Linked DNA regions of Drosophila melanogaster. The protein of the gene in region 3 interacts with the protein of the main gene of each other region in a pairwise test. Each region holds a gene or a part of one and is shown on either strand. Other genes may lie near its edges. The genes, in order: CG1486, SmD1 and CG4116.

Region 1 (9,630 bases), about 18 Mb from region 3:
AAACAAACCGACAAACCCGAATTAAAAGCGACAAGACATGAGAAAACAAGCGAACTACAAAGTTATATAGATATATATACACGCGCGATATATACACGAATAGATATTATAAAATAGTTATATAGACAAGATACATAAGCCTATCGACAACTATATACCAGCAACACGCATCAAGAATAATCGAAGCATTTTAGATCGATTCCCGGAGGCCAACTTCAGTGTACGCCAGGTGGCCAACGGCCAACAAAAACTATGTCGCATCCGAACACTGCCCACACAGCGAAGTTCTCAACATTTACCAATCGATCGATCGATCAAGGGATCGCCCAAAACGATCGATCAATCGATCGATCAATCTAGCCATAATATACATACATACATTATATACATACATACATACACCTAACGAGCCCCAACTAGAGCGATCCCCCCATTGAAATGATCAACTGTAAGATATTAACAATCGGAGGACTCAGATCAAAGTTGGCTCAATCGCATTTTTAAAGTAAATATGTAAAGACGCTGTAAAGAGAGATCGGAACAAACTAATCAAGTTTTTTTATTCGCTTATTATACAATTACCAGTTATAAAAAAAAAACAACAAACGAAATACGCACAAATCGAACAGCAGTCGTCTTAAGGGGTCCTTCGTCACGAAACCGAGCCGAACCGAAGCGAATCGAATCGTAATCCTCTCTAAGCATCCTTTAAGGATCGCCCAATCTACATGAGCAGTACCGAATTATACTAGTCAATGGTAAAGCCCGGAGAAAACCCCTTGAGAGGCAAAGTTTGGGAGTAATGCGAGTTCCGAGCCCAGATCGGAACTCCACGTACACGTACATATAAATATAACACAATTAGTTCGTAAATATATTTCTGTGTTAAATGTTGTCATCGTACGCGTTGTAGTTATTACAAAAGAAAATCCCTAAGAATAACGCAAAAAAACATAGGTGCGCCGATCTCGAAGTACATAAAATCCGAGAAAAGGCCCAACAGGAGATTCAAAACGAAATTTGCACATTTTTTTCGAAGGCCCGGCGACAGCGGCAATAAGACGAGAGAAGATCGAGTTGTACAACATATATGTATATACATATATATATAATATATATATATATAATAATATATATATATAATATAATATATATATATATATATATAAATATATATTTAAATATATTGTATGCATAGTTAAAGAAAATGTAAAGACCAGAGGCATAAATCGAAGCGCTTAGTGGCATATTAATAAACGATTAAAACCAAAATGAACCACGCAGGCGATTCTAACGAATCGTACGAACAGTTTGAAAACTCTTGTAAGAAGTACGAAATACAACAATTAACTAATAAGTGTGTTCCAGAAACCACTTTTGCCCCGTCAGCTTCTCGGAATTGTTCCAATGAGCGGGAGACACCAAATTTCTGGAATGAAAACATATTTTATGCGCAAATCGAAATGAGTCGCGGGTAACGAAAGGCGCGAAGTCGGGAGGAATTTCATTCAAAAGCAAGCAGCGGCAAAGTAAAGCGCTAAAAAACATCCAACAAAAAATATTAAATAAAATAAAAATATAAAATTTAATTGCATTAGTTAGATGGAGAACTGTTGTTTTTTAATGGGGGCCAATAAAGTGACGAATGATGAAGGTGAATATGGTCATAAAAACTATCAGTACTTGTGTAAGTATGTAACCACACAAAATTAACTTTTCATACCATAAACTATATAAGAGAGGTTATGTGTCTAAAAAAAGTATCCTATTTGCATAAAATCATAAGCTCAACCATCATCTTTCCTTTAGTAATTTAACAACAATTGTAAATTTTTCGATCAAACGATTAAGATTTGTAAAAAAAGGTTGAGAAAATCGGATAAAAAGTTTGGAAACTATCGAGTTAAGTTTGGTGTATGAAAAAAAAAAACTTATCACATTGCCACGTTTCTAAACGAAAACATAACAATTAAAAAAATAACATTTTTAATCGGTTTAGGGAAATACAAACCAAAAGGGGAAGATATTACCATTTAGAGGCGAAAGGTCAACAAGAAACACATGCTTTCTCTTTCTAAATGATTTCACATTTTATTTTGTATAGTTTCCTTTTATCATATTTTGTGCAGATATTTTCTTATAGCAGCAATTTTTGTATAATAAATATATTTTTGTCATTTAATTATTTTCTTTCTCCGCGTTTTCTTTAATTTCTTTAGTTTACTGTCACTTAGCTTAACGAATAAGAATAGCGCAATTTATTGCTTCGCACAATTGAACATTGAAGAATTGCCTATATATATATAAATGTATATATATTATGTCTCTCAAAGGTACTTGCATCTGAATAATTATAAAAACAAAAAAATAAAAGCGTAAAGAGGACGAAGTTACGCACATTTCCCTCTGATCATAATCAACAATAATGGTGGGAGTAAAGTATAAGGTAAAATAATATAATATATAATGGAGATATATAAAAGATCATAGAAATAGCCATATACATATAAATACATAAAAGCAATTCAATTGGATCATATCATCATCATCTTTTCATCTTTTCGGGCGAACAATCATCCTCTTTGGAATTCTTTTCGTTTAAGTAGGGAAAGTGGAAATGAAGCCGTCCATATATATGGTAATCTGTCCAGTTTTTGTCTACGCGTTTCTGTTCAGTTCAAGCCTTGTTTGATATTGCTGCGTTTTAAGGCCTCTCCCACTGTGGAATCCATATTGCTGGCTCTGCCTTGATCTAAGTGTTTTCCTCTGCCGTTCAGTTATAGTTAATTTTGAAATATACTCGTACTTGTGTTATTGTTAGTTATTGTTAATTGCACTGCTGGCGGCCACTAACTCCGGAACGGTGGACGAGGCGGCACTGCTCTGACTGACGGTGCGGGCATGATCCACATGGTTTTGGGTCGGCGCCGCAGACGGAGCCGCTCCCGAGGCTGCTGGCATCGATCCCGAAGCTTCTCCCGACTGCACTGGCGTGCCCTCGCTCGCTCCGGATCCGTTTCCATTTCCGGGTACGGGCTCCACCGTGGGAAAGACGGGCGGCAAGGCAGGCGCGACCACGGGCGTCTGCACCATGGGTGTGGGAGGCGAACGATTCGCTGGCAACTGATGAGCAGTGGCTCCGGTCATCTGCATGTGGTACCTTTGGAGTGTAGATTGATGAACATTAAACAAGGACACAATATCAAACGATCTTTGGAACCCACTTGTAAATGTTCTCGGTGCTTTCGACAACACCTTGGGTAAGATTGAGGCTCCGCCCCTTGATGCCCGACTCCTTGGCCGGTGGGGACCACCAGTTGAAGACGCGTCCCACCACAGGCACGTGGCGCAGGATGCCCTCCTGCCAGAGCTTCTCCTCCGATTCGCGCTGCAGATCAGCGGTAACCGCCTCAATGCCCTGAGCGTACAAATAAATTAACACATGTTACATTAATCCAGTACGAGGTGGTAGCCAACCTTTTTAACAATCTCCGACATGGTGTCCAATACCCGCGAGTTTTCCTGGACGCTCTTGCCCACCGTGACCACCAAGTCTAACAACTCTTCGACCTCCGTTTCATGGGTCACCATTCCGAATCGCACACAAATCAGACCATCGGTGCCTTCGCCTAATGAAAAGGCATTGTCCGTGGATTTCAGGGCCTCCACCAGGTCGATGTTCAGCTTGTTTAGCTCTGTTTTGGCCTGGTCCGTCAGCAGGGACTCCCAGCCCTCGGGCACGAAGCGAACACCGCCCATGCCCGCCCATTCGGGCAGTGGAACGAGGCGCAGCACGTCGCTGCACTCCACCAGATGAATGAACCGTGCCTTGTGCTTGATGGTCGCGCGCAGGATGTCCACATGTGCCTCTAAGCTCTGAGCGAAGCTCTCCAGGTTCTCGGAGCTTGGCGGCTGCTCACCCAACCCCAATTCCAGCGGACAGTAGCGAATGCAGCTGCCGTGCGTCGGGTGTTCAATTACCTCAAAGTCAAACTGGAAGAACATGGTGATTAGGCTCATACAAGGAGATGATTAATTCACACTGCATACATTGGGACAGTCGCGTTGCAAGATTTGACCCAGCCAGGAGTTGAGCCGGTCGAAGTAGGAAGCATTGTTAATCTTCTCTAGCGGCTTGAGGCCTTCGGCCGTTTCCCGCTCAGCAGCGGCAGCGGCGGCGGAAGAGCCACTCCCGCCCAGTGGAATGGTGGTGCTGCCGTCGAACTGATAGGCGACCACGGGGGCGGCGGCATCAAAAAGCGCCTGCACATCAAAGGGGCTCTGAATGACGTCCGACAAAGAGGCTCCGGTCTGCGCTCCTGGAGTATGGCTCTGAAAATGCCAAGGTCCTTTGGTAAACTAAAAACATTATCCATAAACGTGTGTGCAATAATTTACCAACACCCGGATGCCCTCACACTTGGAGGCAATCTCGAAGAGAATACTGCACGTCTGGAAGGCCACATGCAGACGCTCCGCAATCGCCTTCCGGCCCAGCGCCTGCAAACTGGTCCACAAGGACAGGGCATTAAGACGACGCGACAGTATGGGATCGGATTCGAAGGCACTCAGAGCGCTGTTCTGCAGCGGACGGTGCAGCAGGACGATGGGCAGACTGGGCACACCCAGCCAGCTGCCCAAATTCAGGGCCATCGAGTGGAGTACCTCCTCCACATGGCCCTGATTTTGGGCGCACACCAAGGCGGCCAGTCCGTGGCCACTGGCGTGCAGCCACATGTTGTGCGCCTTGCATACGTCCCTCAGCCGGAGCAGGTTGTCCACATAGCCACACAACGAGGCTCCAATGTCGGCGACCACCAGCAGCGGAGTCCTGTTATTGCCCACATCCTGCTGAATTTGCTTTTGCAGCAGCGTCACATCCATTGTCCCGGACTGACTGTGCTCCGGAATGACCTTAATAGCCTCCAGCGGTATGCCCAACTGGCGGCATGCGTAGTGCAGCCTCATCGGCGTCGTATTCTCCGAGATGTAAAACGTAGGCTGCGCCAGGGCGGGTATGCCACCCTCCAAGTACCCCGGACACCTGGCGACGATGGCCAGTCGCACCGTACGCAGCACCGCGTCTGCATTGTCCGCATGGAAGCTGCTCGCCGGGTGGGCAAAGTGAAACAGCGTGCCCAACCAGCGGGTGGCGTCCCCGGAAATGCTGTTCGTCACCCGGAGCAGTTGCTGACGGTCCAGATGCGACAAATAGGCCACAATGCTGTGCGATATGAGAGCCAAGTGGGAGACGTCATCCAGGGCGGGCAGCGGGAACTCCGGATCATCGTCGCTGTCCGTGTAAGAAACCAATTGCTCCAGCGACTTAAGAATGTCGGAGGGCACGCGATGCTTCGCTGGCAGGAGGTCCTCGCTGGTCACCCGCTCCCCAGCCTCTTCCTCGTTCTCGACGGGATTTGGGCTCTCCGGCGTGGTCGACACCTTAACGTTCTCTAAGCGCTGCAGCACCTGCGAAGATCGCAGCTCCAGCTCCGCCAGGCCCGATCGAATCTATGTGGCGAATACATGGCTAATTAGGTGGGATAGTGGACAAGGTAAACAACAGCGCTCCAGAAGTTGACGTGTCTTCCGTCGTCGTCAGCAAAAAAAAAAAAGATAGAAGCAGGGCGAAAAAAACCAAACACTCACACTGGAAGCGGCGATTTCGGCCACCGCTGGCGTTGATTGGCCCGGATCCGGCTCTTGGTCTACGAGTGGGCTCTGGCCGGGATCGTCCACCGATCTACCAGCCGCTGACATGGTTTCAGTGCGGTCTAAATCACTTTTAACTTATCGCCTGCGATGCAAAATAATTGTTTTCGTTTCGTGCCACTGCGTCTGTGTGGGTGGGTGTGTGTGCGTGTGTGTGTGGGGCGGGCGAGTGTGTGTGTGTGTTGATGGAAGAGAGGCTGATGTGGAATGGTGTGACCGTAGTGGGTGCGTCTGACTAAGATCGCAAATAGTGTGCGATTGTTGGCCCATGGTTCTGGTGATGGAATAGGTCGCAAGGAAGTTGGAAAACTATTATAATATCCGCCACTAAAAGACGTTGGACAGCAGCACACAAACGTACATACATAGCACCTACTCGTAACCTTAAACGACGAGTTTTCACAGTGGTTTGTGTCACGGTTTGTGTCTCAGCGATTTTGAAGACAGCACCGCACGGTCATACTACACAGCCATCGATAGTTGCGGAAAACTCATCGATGCTGCGAAAGTGCGATAGTATCGAATAAACATGAGTGTGTGCATGAGTGTGGGAATTTATTAAACAAAAACGAAACGCGGACAAACTATATTTATGTAATAAACACTAAGCCGCAGCGCCAACGAGTAATGAACAGTCCACGGCCAGGTCGTACTATTCAGGCGAACGCACCTCGCAATCGACTGCAATCAAAGTGCAATAGCTCAATCAATTGATTCGTTTTGCTCAACCAAAAACAAAATCTATTCCCAAATCGGTGCGATAGTTGCCAAAATATAAAAACTACACTACGCTAAAAAAAAAACAATACACTCACACACTGGCGTACAAGACAACAAAAGAGAAGAAGAAGAGCAGACGCCAGATATAAAAAGCCCCCAAAAGAATTGGAAATAAGACCATACCCCTCCTTCTCCCTTGAAAAGGGACCTTAAAACTAGGCGACACCGAATAATTGAACTCAAGTAAAAAACCGGGAAAAGAGAAAAACACTTTCAACAAAATATCTAGAAGCCTTGTTATCGATTTTGTTCCGGGTTTTTTTTGTGTGAGTGTGTGTTGTGTGAAGCGCGCCCGCGGGTGTGTGGGTGAGTGTGCGTGTGGCTCTCGGCGCGTTATCAAAAACAACAACAATTCGTTGCAAAAGAAAAAATAAAGTAGAGGAGGCGGAAGAAGAAGAGGAATCTGCTCGCACCGCGGTCAATCGCGGATCGTGGTCGATTTATCGAATTAATCGCCCCGAACAAAAAAAACACCGTACAAGGACTTGCACTATTTCCAATGATTTCGCTGCTGCAAATGAAATTCCGTGCGCTTTTGTTGTTGCTATCAAAAGTATGGACATGCATTTGTTTCATGTTCAATCGCCAAGTGCGAGCTGTAAGTACTGAAATTACCCGAAAGCAGGAGTAAATCACAAAACAAAAATAGTCCTATTTTTACCCGCCCGAAACGCCGAAATTATTCCCAACCCGCTCCCGCTATCGAAACTTAAGTACTACTGCTACAGAATAATAATAATAAAAGCGGCCGCACTGATAAGATTTTCAATGATACAGGTAGTACTCGCTAGAGAGTATGGATGTGTTTGCCTCGGAAATTTATTTGAAGATTTGCATGAATAGAAACGTTGAACTTAAAATTAATTCATATATTTTAGATCTTTGTATCTGCAAATCTCTCATATCAATAATATGGTTTCATTTATATTTTCAAATTATATTTACGTTACTTCAATGTGCGATCTATTAAATTTAGAGTAACTTTCAATATATACGAATACGAGATATTTATTCCTAAATATTTGCAAAATTTTAAATTTTCGTAAAGTTACATATATTTTTGCTGGGTACCGCTTAGCCAGTGACACCTGTCTTAAAGTAAGCCTCTATCAAGATTTTCCGCCACACGTTTAATGGTTCGTGTTCCACCGAATCCCCACCCGTCCCAGAAGTGCTGTCCACGGTTCTCCCATCCGCCTTATCGACCACCCGCCTTCAATACTCTCTCAGTACTGGGCCGGCGATTTTGGCCAGATATCGTGACGCGGCAGAGGCACTGACCTTCGACCTGCTTATATACATAGATATCGATGAATCCACATCAACATTATATGCTATTGCACAGCTAATAATTGTTAATTGTTTTGTAAAAGCATAATATATCAGTAAATTGGGGTTTCCCATGCACTAGTGATAACTTGGCCATTGAGCACCTCTAACATCTCCTTGCACCGCAACCCAACCCCAACAGAGTGTAGCGACGCATAGCCACCAAGCCCATCATATGAACCCCATGTCGAATGCCTTTCAAGTACTGCTCCGTTGATTATGTATTAACTTTCTCAGTTTATCCAGTATCAACCGGTTAAATACGAACTCTTCCCGTTGTCACCCGTCTCGCGGCACCGCCTGAGCCTGGTGCAGCGCAAGACCCTCGTTCTGGACCTGGACGAAACGCTAATCCACTCCCATCACAATGCGATGCCCCGGAATACGGTGAAGCCGGGCACGCCGCACGATTTCACTGTCAAAGTGACCATCGATCGGAATCCAGTGCGCTTTTTCGTGCACAAGCGACCGCATGTGGACTACTTCCTGGACGTGGTAAGTTCCCGAATTGATTGGCCAAGCAAATAGATGCATTCCCGCATTTAAGTCAACACATTAACTTACGCCCTACTGCCCGCAGGTCTCGCAGTGGTACGATCTGGTGGTCTTCACGGCCAGCATGGAGATTTACGGAGCGGCGGTGGCAGACAAGCTGGACAACGGACGAAACATCCTCCGGAGGCGATACTACAGACAGCACTGCACGCCCGACTACGGATCCTACACCAAAGACCTGTCGGCCATCTGCAGTGACCTAAATAGGGTAAGCGGGAACAAGTGACTCCATGCGAGCCATCAGTTGCAAATCGATAAAGTAGAGGGTGCTGCATAAGATCGTACTTTATATACGAGTATTTTGTTCTAAATTGAGCATCGTTCCTTGCAGATATTTATCATCGACAATTCGCCCGGCGCCTATCGCTGTTTTCCCAACAACGCCATACCCATCAAGAGTTGGTTCTCGGACCCGATGGACACGGCGCTGCTGTCGCTGCTGCCCATGCTGGATGCGCTGAGGTTCACGAACGACGTGAGATCGGTGCTGTCGAGGAACTTGCACCTGCACCGCCTCTGGTAGCAGGTGGGCCGCCTGTCGCTAGTTTAGTTTATCTATTTAGAAGGAGCACTGAGGGCCAGCGAAGTGGGGAGAATATCTTCTGAAATTAACAACAAACAAGGTGGTGCTGTGACACATTAACGAATTTGTTCATTATTATTTAAAATTTGTACCATTCAGTCAAATGAGCGGAGATAAGATGAGACAAACAGATAAAGCAGAAAGTTGAGGATATATTGGGAGATTTGGAAGCGATGGTTTATTTCTCCTTTTGTGTATAGACTAACAGTTTTTTTTTAACAATCTAATTATGCATACATACTTGTCCATATATGTAGAGACCAGCTATTTTTATTAGACATTTTTTTCGCTTGTTTTTTTGGGTGTATATTTTGATTATAATATCAAATAAAAACTCTTGAACACAGACAGTATATAGTATAAAGTATATATATACAGTATACAGTATATATATGAATGTAAAGCTGAGCAGAAGGCGAAGCCACAACATAAAGAACAAATTTGTCAAGTTATATATCATATTATTGTAATTTAAATCTAAGGCCACTTACAACAACAGTCTTGTAATTTCTATACCATGATAACAATTAACTATTATGACACTGGAGTTGTTTTTGTGCAGATACGAACTAACAAGACGAAGCAAAATACTTATAGTTATACAAATTAGTTAATTACGAAACTTAACTTGGACATCATTATTATGGATAATTATTAAATATGTAACCGAT
Region 2 (6,635 bases), on a different chromosome or scaffold from region 3:
CTTAAAGTTAGTTCCTTGGATTGTCGCAAACTTTTTTCCACCGTATGTCGCAAATTAGTAAGTATATTCAAGTATTTTCAAGTTTTCTCTACTAATGAAGTTTGGCTTAAAACAATCTTTTCGGGAAGGTATCCCAAATATTTCAATGCCCTAAATATAGTCTATATAAACATAAATTCTTTTTATTTAAATACGACCCATTAATAATTCTGGTTCTGATATTATTATTTTGTTAATATTCGTCTTGCCAGAAATACAAATTTATATATTTTGTATACATTATTTGTTTTTAAGGTCTAATTGCAAAGAAGATTATTAATTATACCATGTTTGATTTTGAATTTTATTCCTTGATAATCCGTTGAATTCCGAATGTTGACAGGATTTCTAAAAAAGCGTTATTAAGCAAATTAAAAATTATTATGTCCAAGTACCTTTGCTTCTTTTTATTTTTACAAACCCTTTTTCATTAAGCATTAGCAATACATAAACATAACAAAACATAAGTAAAATACATAAAATGTATTTAAACGTAATTTAAATGTATTTAATCGCCCGAAGATACTTTCAAATAATTTCCCCTTATTTTTTTAACCCTTATTTGTGCAGGGTGTAAACTTACAGCCGAGTACTTTCAACCCTTTTTCGAGGGTGACTGAATATCTGCTAATGGATTTAATTAGATTATCGTGATTTCATGACTTACTACATCCATCATACAAACTCGATATCCTTTCATCACAAACATTTTGCATTTCTGCTTGAATGCAAATCGAATGTAGCTGTATTATTGTTGAATAAATGGTAACAAATAGAGAAATCAAAATGGTAAAACCGAAGCACTAAGCTCAAAAGGAATGGCTAAAGTTAATATATTGATATCAAATAAACGGTTGCAGAAAAAGATACAGAAAAGGTAATTGAGTCAGATTGAATGCAAACAAAGCAATTATATAGGCACTAAGGTAACCGAAAATATAACATTGTGGAAAAAAATTTTAATTTTTAAATATTTACCTGTGTCATAGTTGTATGTTATCCCTCAAATGATGTTCATCAAAAGCATAAATTACGATAAGTTACGACTTTTAACAATCCTAACACTGCAGAGATCCAATAACCGTCAAGTGTATATATATATGTATATATATGGTGCACGATTATTAAACAAACAAACTTAGTATGCAAAGCAAAGCAACAACAGCTGCAGCCAAAATCACATTCTCAATTAAACCATAAACGAACAAATATATACAAATTCCCGGCTCTGACCAGACTTCAAAGGAAAGCAATAGAGCTGTGAAGCTTGAGCAATTGTGAACTTGAGTTAAAAATATAAAATAAAAAATTGTGTTATCAAAAGACATTCCTAATTTAAATTTTAAGATTTAAAATTGGCGCCTTACTTTTAGCGGGTATCCGAACCCGAATAGCGATAATTGATCGGAGCAAGTTCCACAATTTGACATTTCGATATATTATCGGAACCGGTTCAACCTGCCTTTGAAAACTTAAACAAATCACTTATATTTTTTTGTCCTTAATAATGGGTTTTAAAGTGAGGGTTACTCCATTATCCCTATATCTATTGTTTCTTTTGATATGTTTTCCAATCCGTTACTTAAAGTAGAATCTCTTAAGTTAACCAGTTTTAAGGCGATGCCCATTTCATGGGTTTAACATTGTCGTTTGTTTCATTGTTCACCACGCATCCTAATGGCAGTAGTAAATATATTTGAATCTATAGCCTAGCTTAAGTAACACAGTTTTCTCCTACTATTGTTGAACATTTGAAAGACATTTTGTGCGTCCAAAAACAATTAAAAGTATAAAAAAGCGTTTTTACAAACTTTCAAACATTTTTAATCATAATTTAATGGCGGGAGTCTTCTTTCAATTTGTTGCCAAGTAAACACATTTTTCCTGAGCTACTACACAGAGTGATTTTTAACAATATACATATTCAGATGGAGTTTCTTTACTAGCTGAAGACATTTGTCAGTTGTTCGTACATAGTAAATGCATACAGTGTGGATTTATCCAAAGAATATTTATATTCTATATTTATCGAATATTGTTTATTAGATGTAGCTGTTACAAAGATTAACGTCGGCCTGAAGCTCGGCCCCTTCCGCGACCCCGTGGACCACCTCGTCCGCGGGCGCCTCTGCCCCTGCCGCGATTTCCCACGCGGCCGCTGTCCTTCTTTTTTGTCTTCGACTTCGGGGTGTCGTCGATGAGGAGCGTCTCCAGCGGCAGGCTGTCCGGCAGTATAAAGTATCTGATGTTGTTGCCGCGAATGCTCAGCGTCTCCAGGTGGACGGGATCCCGGTTCTTGATCGTCATCCGAACGCTCTTCAGGTGAGTGTTCATGGCCACATCCACGCCGGTAATGGTGCCGTGGATCTGGGTGCCGTTCTTCAGTTCGATGGTCACGGTCTCGTGACTTAGCTTCATAAGGAATCTGTAATGCATCAACGGGAAGATTAGTAAACGAAATTAAGGAAATCCCTGTTGCAAAGATGCAGCATTTCAGAGATGCAAGGCTATTATAGGTAGAAACAAATATCTTATTGGGTGATTGAAAAATGAGATACAATAAGGTGTATGCAAGCAGCCTTTATGATGAAATATACTTAGTAGAGCCTTTACTTTTAGCAAATTAGTACGAATTTAAAGGTAGCTTGTATTTGGTGGCCTTGGATTAAGAGCGTTGATTGCATTGAATATAGTTATGCAAAATGCTACTTAAAGTGCAAGAATTGTTACCAGATACAAGTAAATAATGGAAAACTATTATAATAACAGATCAAAACAACATTCGTATTAAATTAAATTTTGTGTACAAAAACAACAAATGGGAGCATCGCTTTTGCATGCATACATGTGTGCAGAATCGCAGAACTCAAAAACTGAATGAAACTATACTGCACGCATTGCTAACAAGTTTAGTTTTAGTTTAGGTAAATGACGCATAACATACCTTACTAATTTCATGTTTTTATGTGTTTTTGGTGGTTTTCTGCAAAAAAAAACGCGCACAAACAATGCCGGCTAGTTTACTTGGAATTTGGTGGTTGCGGTGAACTGTTGTATCGTGTGCTAAGATAGCAACGCTCATTGGTATTGTAAAATATATCGGCTACCAAACGGAATCGTAATAAAAGTGAATATGAAGTAATAAATGAATTAATGCATTCCAGAAATAAATTATAAATTTGCAACAATTAAGTAACAATTAATGTCATACTGCTCTATAAATAAATACTTGTGTCTTATTAATTACTCATGTTAATAAATACGATTACGATTATATTATTATAATATACGATTATATTCCAATTCAGTTGTTCCAAATCCCTTGGTAACCGCAGCCAAGGGTACATATTCGACTGACTTATCGATAACGCCGCATATCGCGAAAAAAAAACAATCCAGTGTTAAGAAAATAACGATTAATACTTATTCGCGGTCGCCGTCTATTAACTGGTTTTTAATAAAACACATTTGTCGGTGTTTTGCACTCGCCGCGACATTAGTTCAACGCAGTAGAGCTTTTTAACTCAACGCAGACATCGAATATAATTTTTGACATATGTATTTATCCGGCTCGGAGTGAGAAATTAGCAAGCCATGGCGTTACTCTACCGACGCATGTCGATGCTATTAAATATAATTCTTGCATATATTTTCCTTTGTGCGATATGTGTGCAAGGATCTGTGAAACAAGGTAATGTTTCAAAAACTCAGACGAACATCATAATTGGTACATACATACGTACATCAAGAACCGTTTGTGGGTGTCAACAAATTGCAATGTCTCATTTTTTTTTTGTGTTGTTTTTGCAAATGTGAATGGAGTGTTTTACATTAAGTTGGAAACTGGAATTATCATTTGATATGGTGGTTAACAAGACGGTTGTATAGTTCTTAGATACAGTAGCACTCGAACTATGTCGGTAACGCCCAAAGATTACGGCGATGGGGTGAGATTTCAATTGGGGCTAAACAAAAGTAGTCGCGCATACATATGTACACACTTCCCGGTACATACATACGTTTTATGTTTCTGCGTACATACTTATGTACATCTATCTGATTTATCTGAAATATAATCACATATATATATATTTGTAATATTTCTTCAGCTAAATACGTGTTGATTCCGAAATTACGCCGGATTACTACCGCGAGTTTTATGGCCAATATTGTGGGTGTAGTTTCATTTTTATGTCTGGCTTTTACCGCCCATCCAGAAAAACCTTTCTTGGTGTCCATCATAAAACTTAAAATTTAATAGGAAAGTTAAATAAGAAATTTTCCTTCAATATAGTTCTAATTTGAATATTTTACTAAATCGCATAAAACCCGGAAGCTATAATCAGATTTAAATATACACAACCATTAATCAGGAAGATATATTTTAAGTCTAACATATTTTTAGGCTGACAGAAGCATGTTGCTACTAGATCGGTGTAATTTCTATAATTACGTCTATATACAAAACTGATAATTATTTTAATGAAATTTATTTACAGAGTGGGCAGAAATAGGTAAAAACGTATCTCTAGAGTGCGCATCTGAAAACGAAGCAGTAGCATGGAAGCTGGGCAACCAAACTATTAATAAAAACCATACAAGGTTAGTAACTTATTGCACAAGCATCTAAAAATATTTCTGCCCCCATAAAGATGGAATAACATAATAATCTGATCATTTTTCGATCTTTTCAGATATAAAATAAGAACTGAGCCATTGAAATCCAACGACGATGGCAGTGAAAACAACGATAGTCAAGACTTCATCAAGTATAAGAATGTCCTGGCGCTTCTCGATGTCAATATAAAGGACTCGGGGAACTACACATGCACAGCCCAAACGGGGCAAAACCATTCGACTGAATTCCAAGTTAGGCCATACCTTCCATCCAAAGTCCTGCAAAGTACCCCCGATAGGATTAAGAGAAAAATCAAGCAGGATGTCATGTTGTACTGTTTGATCGAGATGTACCCACAAAATGAGACAACTAATAGAAACCTCAAGTGGCTTAAGGACGGCAGCCAGTTTGAATTCCTGGACACCTTCTCGTCCATTTCGAAGCTAAACGATACGCACTTAAACTTCACCCTGGAATTCACAGAAGTTTACAAGAAAGAGAATGGCACCTACAAGTGCACCGTCTTCGATGACACCGGACTCGAAATTACCTCCAAAGAGATTACCCTTTTCGTAATGGAAGTGCCACAAGTTAGCATTGATTTCGCCAAGGCAGTTGGTGCTAATAAAATATACCTAAATTGGACCGTTAACGACGGCAACGATCCAATTCAGAAGTTCTTCATCACTCTGCAGGAGGCTGGAACACCGACTTTTACTTATCATAAGGACTTTATTAACGGCAGCCATACATCGTATATTCTGGACCATTTCAAGCCGAACACAACCTATTTTTTAAGAATCGTGGGAAAGAACTCGATTGGCAATGGCCAACCCACCCAGTATCCCCAGGGAATCACCACGCTTAGTTATGATCCCATATTTATACCAAAAGTCGAGACCACCGGCAGCACGGCGTCCACGATAACGATTGGCTGGAATCCACCGCCGCCAGATCTCATTGATTATATACAATACTACGAACTGATTGTCTCCGAATCGGGCGAGGTGCCCAAAGTGATCGAAGAGGCCATTTACCAGCAGAATTCTCGAAACTTGCCATACATGTTTGATAAGCTTAAGACCGCCACAGACTACGAATTTAGGGTAAGGGCATGTAGTGATCTAACCAAGACTTGTGGACCATGGTCCGAAAACGTGAACGGCACAACGATGGACGGCGTGGCAACAAAACCCACCAACTTGAGCATACAGTGTCATCATGACAACGTCACGAGAGGCAACTCCATCGCCATTAACTGGGACGTTCCCAAGACGCCAAACGGCAAGGTTGTGTCATATTTAATTCACTTGCTGGGCAATCCCATGAGCACAGTGGATAGAGAGATGTGGGGACCAAAGATTCGAAGAATCGATGAACCCCATCACAAGACCCTCTACGAAAGTGTTAGCCCGAACACAAACTACACGGTGACGGTGTCTGCCATAACGCGGCACAAGAAGAACGGCGAACCGGCCACCGGAAGTTGTCTAATGCCCGTCTCCACGCCGGATGCCATTGGCCGTACCATGTGGTCAAAGGTGAACCTGGACTCCAAGTACGTTCTCAAGTTGTATCTACCGAAGATCAGCGAACGCAATGGGCCCATATGCTGCTATAGATTGTATCTAGTTAGAATTAACAATGACAACAAGGAATTGCCGGACCCGGAGAAGCTAAACATCGCCACATATCAGGAGGTTCACAGCGATAACGTGACTAGAAGTAGTGCATATATAGCGGAAATGATAAGTAGCAAGTACTTTAGGCCGGAAATATTCTTGGGCGATGAAAAGAGATTTAGTGAGAACAACGATATAATCCGCGACAACGACGAAATTTGTCGGAAATGCTTGGAGGGTACTCCATTTCTGAGGAAACCCGAGATCATTCACATACCCCCACAAGGTTCACTATCAAGTAATTAATATAAACTTTATTTATTTTTTTTTATTTGAAACTAATGTGCTTTTCTTTA
Region 3 (6,215 bases):
ATACATTTCTGACTTTGCCATGCTATTCACTAGAAATTTGCCACACAAAGTGTCATGATTATCGCTGGCAATCCCGGTGCTTTCTGGCACGTGACTCACGCACCCATTCTTTGACTCCCACATTCCCCGGATCCCTGGATCCTTGGATCCTTGGATCCTGGGCAGGATGCCCCACAATTATGCCCTTTCCTGACCACAGACGTGGACACTCTGCATGCCAAACTTTTCCACTTTGCAACTATTTCAAAAGTGAAGCGAAACTTGTGGCCCACTTAGTCGTCCGTCCATGTCCATACACACACACACAAACACACACACACACGGCTAAATGTATTTATGTATATATTTTCGGATATCCCGCCCGATGTCCGTGTGTCAACGCCGCAGTTTGGGTCTCCGACGTCGATTTCCAATGCGGTTCGTGTCTTTGCCTGCTGCATGATTTATGATTTCTGCCTCGAAAAGTATTTGTGGCATTCCATTTTCCCCCGCATTTGTGGCCCTTTCCTTGAGGTCCAAAATCCGCATCCCGTATCCCTTATCCGTATCCCCGAGTCCAAATCAGAAGCCAACTCAGTGGCAGACTCACTGCCAGAAGCGTTCAAAGTTGTCTACTCAAATCATTTTAATTGAAAATTACACATGAGCGGAGCCGAGGAGAAGTAAACTTTTAATCACAAGTAGGCGACTTTCGGAATGCCCTCTAACTTCTTCTTCGGCTCCATAGTATGTATATATTCTTTTATATTAATATAGTATATAGTATATAATATAAAATTAGCTAATTTTAAAGCCCAAGCTTTTCAGTTTCGTCTTTGTAGGGCAGCGAAATGTGCTAGACCAAAGGGAACCGGTGAGTGCTTCCAAGGGCAGTGGATGGTGATTTTGACTTTTAGCACAGCACATGTCCTTGGGCTGAGAACCTGTGTACCAACCACCGAACCATCACTCCCCCCCCCCCTCCACCAATTAAACCGTAAGACCCCACCCCTGGCTCCCCCCTGCCCACTACAGATTTTCCCCCAAAAGGTTTCGCGGGCTTGCCCAGGACCTTGGCTCTCGGTTTTTGGCCTGGCACATGGCACGTTTTGTCCGTACCGGAAATGTCCATTCACTTGCATATTAACAAAGTTCCGCACACTCACACACCAGTTGCTATTTGGTCTATGCAAATGCACTGCGAGAAATGGAGAAATGGAAATGGACTTGCGTTTTGGGGTATGTTTTGCATATAGATTATAATTCTGTTAAAACAGCACAACAAATAACCATTGCATACCAATTTCACTACATCAAATCTCAGTCGTCTGCACGTTTCAGTGTATGCTTGCTTGGCAGCAGTACTTAATAAACTCCCCAGGAAGAGACGCAAAAGAGAAGGCCAACCAAGTTGGTCGTACATCATAGGGTCCTTTTCCATATCCTCACCATGGGGGAGAGGCTATGCCAGGGTTTGTGGGGGCGGCGGCGGCGGCGGTGGAAAGGAAACAGGAAAGTATTTTGAAGGCACCGGAAACCGGAAGCAAGCAATAATTCAAATGAATTTCAAATCAAATCATTGCAAAACATTTACAAAGTATGTGCGCCAAAGCGCTGCACAAAACCGCACAAGAGCCAAATGCCAGCAAGTTCAACTTTGACTTTTGCCAGCAGCTGCAGGTGGGCGCCCACGCCTCCTCCATTCGGCCTCTTGCCTTCCACGCCCCTTTCCACAATTTTTCACCACCCATGCCACTATGGCCTTGCAGTGATTAATTTCTATTATTATGACACTGATTAGGTCCACTTACAGGCTCATTACAGTCATGAGCACATAATACACAGCCCGGACACGTGACGGTGATTTAGAGGTTCGCGAAATGGAACAGCGGCGCCGCACGAGGGGTCGTCCTGCTGACCAGGACGAGGAGCAACGGGCGCCACTCCCCGGGCGCCATCCTGCAGACATTTATCAAGACATTGACCGCCGCATGCAGAGCCGACCGGAGACCGTTTGTCTTGCACTTGACCAGGGGCTCACCAAGGGGGTTCTAAACGGGCCAGCGCACCTCGCAGACACACCGACTGGCGGCCCTTTGAACATGAACACCAGTTGGCCCATAAATTAGTGCAACTACGCCAAATCCACTGGCCTACACAAATTTGAGGCTTTGCAATCGCAAATTTGGTCGATTGGAAAACATACACAAGGTGAGAGCAATGATGTCCATGAAATATGCATGTTATACCAAAGCTAAAATTTAATTATCCATTTCACGCCTTTGCCATAATGACCTCGAATAAAACCACCTTGGTTGCAGAGTGTAATTGCTTTCAATCATTTAAATAAATAAATAAGGTTGCCTTCTCGCATACTAATAGTAATCATTAAAAAAAAAAAAATTCCTTGGCTGGGGGGCAAAAAAAAAGTAATTTTTCGCTTAACTAAGAAAGGCGGTGGATCCTCTTCTCAACCGCGATTTGGTCGCACCACCATCACCTGGGCCTTATTCTTGCCCCGCTTGTTGCCACGCCGGCGACGTCGCTGATTGTTGTTGTTAATGCTGCCACGCCTCTTGTTGACCCGGCGCCTACGGGCGGGAACGCGCCTCCTATTGTTCTGGCCACCGGGACGCACTCGACTGGACACCGCCTGGCCAACGATCTGCGGCAAGAGACCGGCAACTGGCGAGGATCCATAGATGACCTGATTAATGGCCGCATTGGTGGCCGACGAGGAGGAAGACGATGATGATGAGGATCCCGAACTGCCCAGGTTCACATAGATAGCTCCATTGGAAGTCGTGGTGACCAGGCCAGTTCCGGTTCCCGAAGTCGTTCCTGTTGTTCCCGTCGATGTGCCCGTAACAGCTCCCGTTCCCGTTGATGTGGTGCCCGAAGTGGGACGCAGTTGCTCCAGCATATCCTGCTTATTGGTTATGTACTGATTCAGGGCCGAGTTGATACCGGTGTTTGAAGAGCTGGTGCTGCTGCTGCCACTGTTCAAGCCCGATGCCAGGAATCTCAGCTGGCCATTTTCGTTGCCATCCTTCACATAGATGCCGGCCAAACGGGTATTTTGTTCCTTGGCCAGCGGATCCTTTTCGACCTTCTGGGCCATTGCTGGGCAACAACTGCCCAGCAGACAGAGCACTAGAATTGCGTAGATCATTTCTGGACGATGGACCATCGAACTGTGTGTGCCATTGGGCAGATCTTTGGCACTTTTATAGCCCAACATGAGTTGACGGAAATCGACTTTCATCGGTCATGGATGCCATGATGCCCGGAATTTTGCTTGCCAATATATATAGGTTATAGGTTTTAGAAAGCCTTTCTTCATTCTTCTCGCACCATTTTTGCTGGCCCCGAGGCCAAATAGTTGGACTTTTCAAGTGGCAAGAGCGTGTCAAGAAGTGCCCCTACTTGTAGGCCATTGTTTGCTTTGCCGCGGATCGTGAACCTCAAGTGGTCGCAGCCGAAACCGAAAAGCAAAACCAAAGCCAAAAACCAAAACCAAAAACCAAGGAGCCACACTTTAATTAAAATTTAAAATCAGCAACAGAAACACGTCTGCTTGCAGCTTCAGTTGGGGGTTTTTTCGGGCACAGTGGGTAATAATATAAATGGGAATTTGAAATCCAAATCGTATATTGGTTTTTGTACCTTTTAAGGGTTCTATTAGCAACGGAATACTGCTCTATAGCCGAGCAAATACTCTGCACGATACAAAGTTGAACCCATAAACCGCTGTTGCCCCTTTATGCACCCACTTAACGCTTTCTCTCTCTCTCTGAGAATTGCATATTTTCATTCACTCCTTTTTTTTTTTTTTTTTGGATCAACCGCTGTGAGATTGTGCATTCGGAATGGTTTCCATCACTTTGGCGCCAGTGTGCCGCAGATGGCGCCCCCTATTGGGGCGCATTTAACCCCCGGAATCCCCCTTTTTGCCAGCCTCATTTCATTTGCCGTTGATGCGATGCTGCCTTGCTGGTGGTGCCTTGCTTCTCAATTTTTCGCCTAAGTTGGCCAACCGACAGTTTTGGGGCTGAATGCCTGGCGGGGGCTGTTGAAATAAATTTCACTTACGCCAACGCTCACACACACGCACCAAAACTACACTGGCCAAAAACACAAAGGATTGCTCTTAAACTAAGAAAAAACAAAGAAAGGGGCAGCCATGTTAAGCATATATTTTTGTAATTGTAGCGATATATGATGATAGTATGTCCCAAATTCCGCTTTTAAGAACCACCAATTGTTTTCTGCCAGTGCAGCGCACACATGGAGCGCCACACGAACGTAGAGACACATACGAATGTCGCTCACTGTTCGCGGTTCGTCCTTTACTTGGCAATGCAATTACAGGCGCTAACCGCGCGTGAAAACAGCAACAGTGGCAATAACAACAACGGCTAAGGGAGAAACTATCCATCCACACCGAAGGGAAGCATATGCTCCTAAAATCATCTTTAAACCGGACTATCCACACGAATTATAATGCGCAGGCTAAACTAGTTTCAAAGCTAATATTAGTAGATAGTATTATAGTGATGTGCATTCAAATAGAACTGGTAATATCATATATATACTAACGTATAGAAAATAAATATATTGAATATGATCATACTTAATAATTTGTTTGTCAACTTAAAAGCTGTCAATTTGCTCAACGATTTGCAGTGACATTCGGCAAGGCAAGAGTATGTCCGATAGTCTTTCCTGCTCCTTGGCCTTCCTCTTGATTCACTTTATCCGGCACCACCTCTCGATTTTCCCCACCCCACACGCAAGGTGAGGCTTCCATTTCCCATTTTCCTGCCACTGAGCGGCTTAAAGCGACGCAATGACAATTAACAACAGGCGACGACAAAACGACAACGAAAGAAGGTGAGGCTAAAAATGGGATGGAGGTTGGGAGGTACTCAGAGGTACTTTTGGGTGGTTGGGGAAAATGCCATATCAATGACAGCACCAGAAGCCCGAGAAGAAAAATAAAGCGACAACTTCACGCCAGGACTCCTCGCAGGAGATTCCACCCACTTGCCAAACCACCACCCACAACCCACCACACAACATCCGACATCCAACAGCCAACACCCACCTGCCCCACACACTTACGCATATTAACAGGCTTGAATTTTTCAGTTTTTCGCAGACTTTTCCAGCAACACACCAACACACCAATAGCCCACCCCTTCCATTTTCATTTGCACGTGCAATTGAAGTGCAAAATGCGTTTGGCAATAGAATTGCCAGCTAAAGTTTTCCCCAAACCAACTCCAATTCCCGCTTTTACCCAGATTTCATTCTCTACCACAATACAAAACTCAGTTCCGTTCTTTCGTCTACTCAATTTTTATTTTTGCTCCACTTCGGTTTGGTTTTTGAAGGGAAATTTTTGTAAGTGAAATTTCAATGACATTTTAATGGAAATTGCAAATGAATGATGAAGTACGTTGGGGAGGGGGGAGGGGGGGGTGGATAGTGGAGGTAGGTGTACTTAGTGGCTTGGAAAACTGCACAGACCATCGGGGGGAATTACAGACTTGCATAATTGATGCCAAACTTAGGGATATCTTGGCACTTAGCAAGCGTAAAGCAGTGCCAAAAATAAAAAAAAAATAAGTGAAATAGCACAGAGAAACTCAAATGTATAGCAGTGAAACCTTTAAAAAAAAGAGGCTAAAAAACACTAGTTAAAATAGGGCTTATACATGGATATCAGGGGCCTAACTCTTGAATGGAATTTTAAAAAATGCATTCATTCAGAACGCGTTTTAATGAAATTTCCCGGCGACGCCATTCCATGTCATCCCGCTCCCGCCTTTAAAAGAAAACTTCACACAAAGGGATAAACTGGGCAGACATGCGAACAGAGTCCCTTCGATTGGGGAATAAAGATGCACAGATCCCCACATGGCATCACATCACGATTCGACTTTGCCCTCGTGTCTGGCGTCAGCTGTAGCTCAAAGAAGCTGGGGTCGGAAAAATCGAATTTTTGAAATTTGAAAGCTGGAATCGTTTGCCCATTTTTTGCCCATGTTTGCCCACCAATTAGTTTTTTTTGCCCACGTCCAGTTTTTGAGATATGAATTTTCGAAAAAGTTCGAAAATTTTCGAAAATCAAAAATTTCGCTTTTTTCAAATTTTTTTTTTTTAAATCGCAATAACATCGTTTGCCCACGTTTGCCCACCCTTTAGAATTTTGAAAAAATTTATACTTTAGG

The links.
Region 1: the proteins of CG4116 (region 3) and CG1486 interact in a two-hybrid assay, tested with the Drosophila melanogaster proteins (one large-scale study listed by BioGRID).
Region 2: the proteins of CG4116 (region 3) and SmD1 interact in a two-hybrid assay, tested with the Drosophila melanogaster proteins (one large-scale study listed by BioGRID).

What each region holds. Positions count from the first base shown.
Region 1 is NC_004354.4:21,320,591-21,330,220, reverse strand, and holds CG1486 (uncharacterized protein), read right to left. Parts: upstream 6,176-9,630; 5' UTR 6,074-6,175; exon of another isoform or gene 5,987-6,073; 5' UTR 5,761-5,986; coding exon 5,650-5,760; intron 5,512-5,649; coding exon 4,399-5,511; intron 4,333-4,398; coding exon 4,051-4,332; intron 3,994-4,050; coding exon 3,478-3,993; intron 3,419-3,477; coding exon 3,225-3,418; intron 3,161-3,224; coding exon 2,818-3,160; 3' UTR 2,071-2,817; downstream 1-2,070. Other genes in the region: Dd (dullard), read left to right, coding at 6,992-7,090, 8,059-8,316, 8,402-8,584, 8,708-8,899.
Region 2 is NT_037436.4:12,731,520-12,738,154, forward strand, and holds SmD1 (small ribonucleoprotein particle protein SmD1), read right to left. Parts: upstream 3,093-6,635; 5' UTR 2,998-3,092; coding exon 2,984-2,997; intron 2,465-2,983; coding exon 2,104-2,464; 3' UTR 1,845-2,103; downstream 1-1,844. Other genes in the region: Ptp69D (protein tyrosine phosphatase 69D), read left to right, coding at 3,634-3,730, 4,539-4,641, 4,734-6,577. UniProt on the Drosophila melanogaster protein: Plays a role in pre-mRNA splicing as a core component of the spliceosomal U1, U2, U4 and U5 small nuclear ribonucleoproteins (snRNPs), the building blocks of the spliceosome.
Region 3 is NC_004354.4:3,064,319-3,070,533, forward strand, and holds CG4116 (uncharacterized protein), read right to left. Parts: upstream 3,245-6,215; coding exon 2,450-3,244; 3' UTR 2,297-2,449; downstream 1-2,296.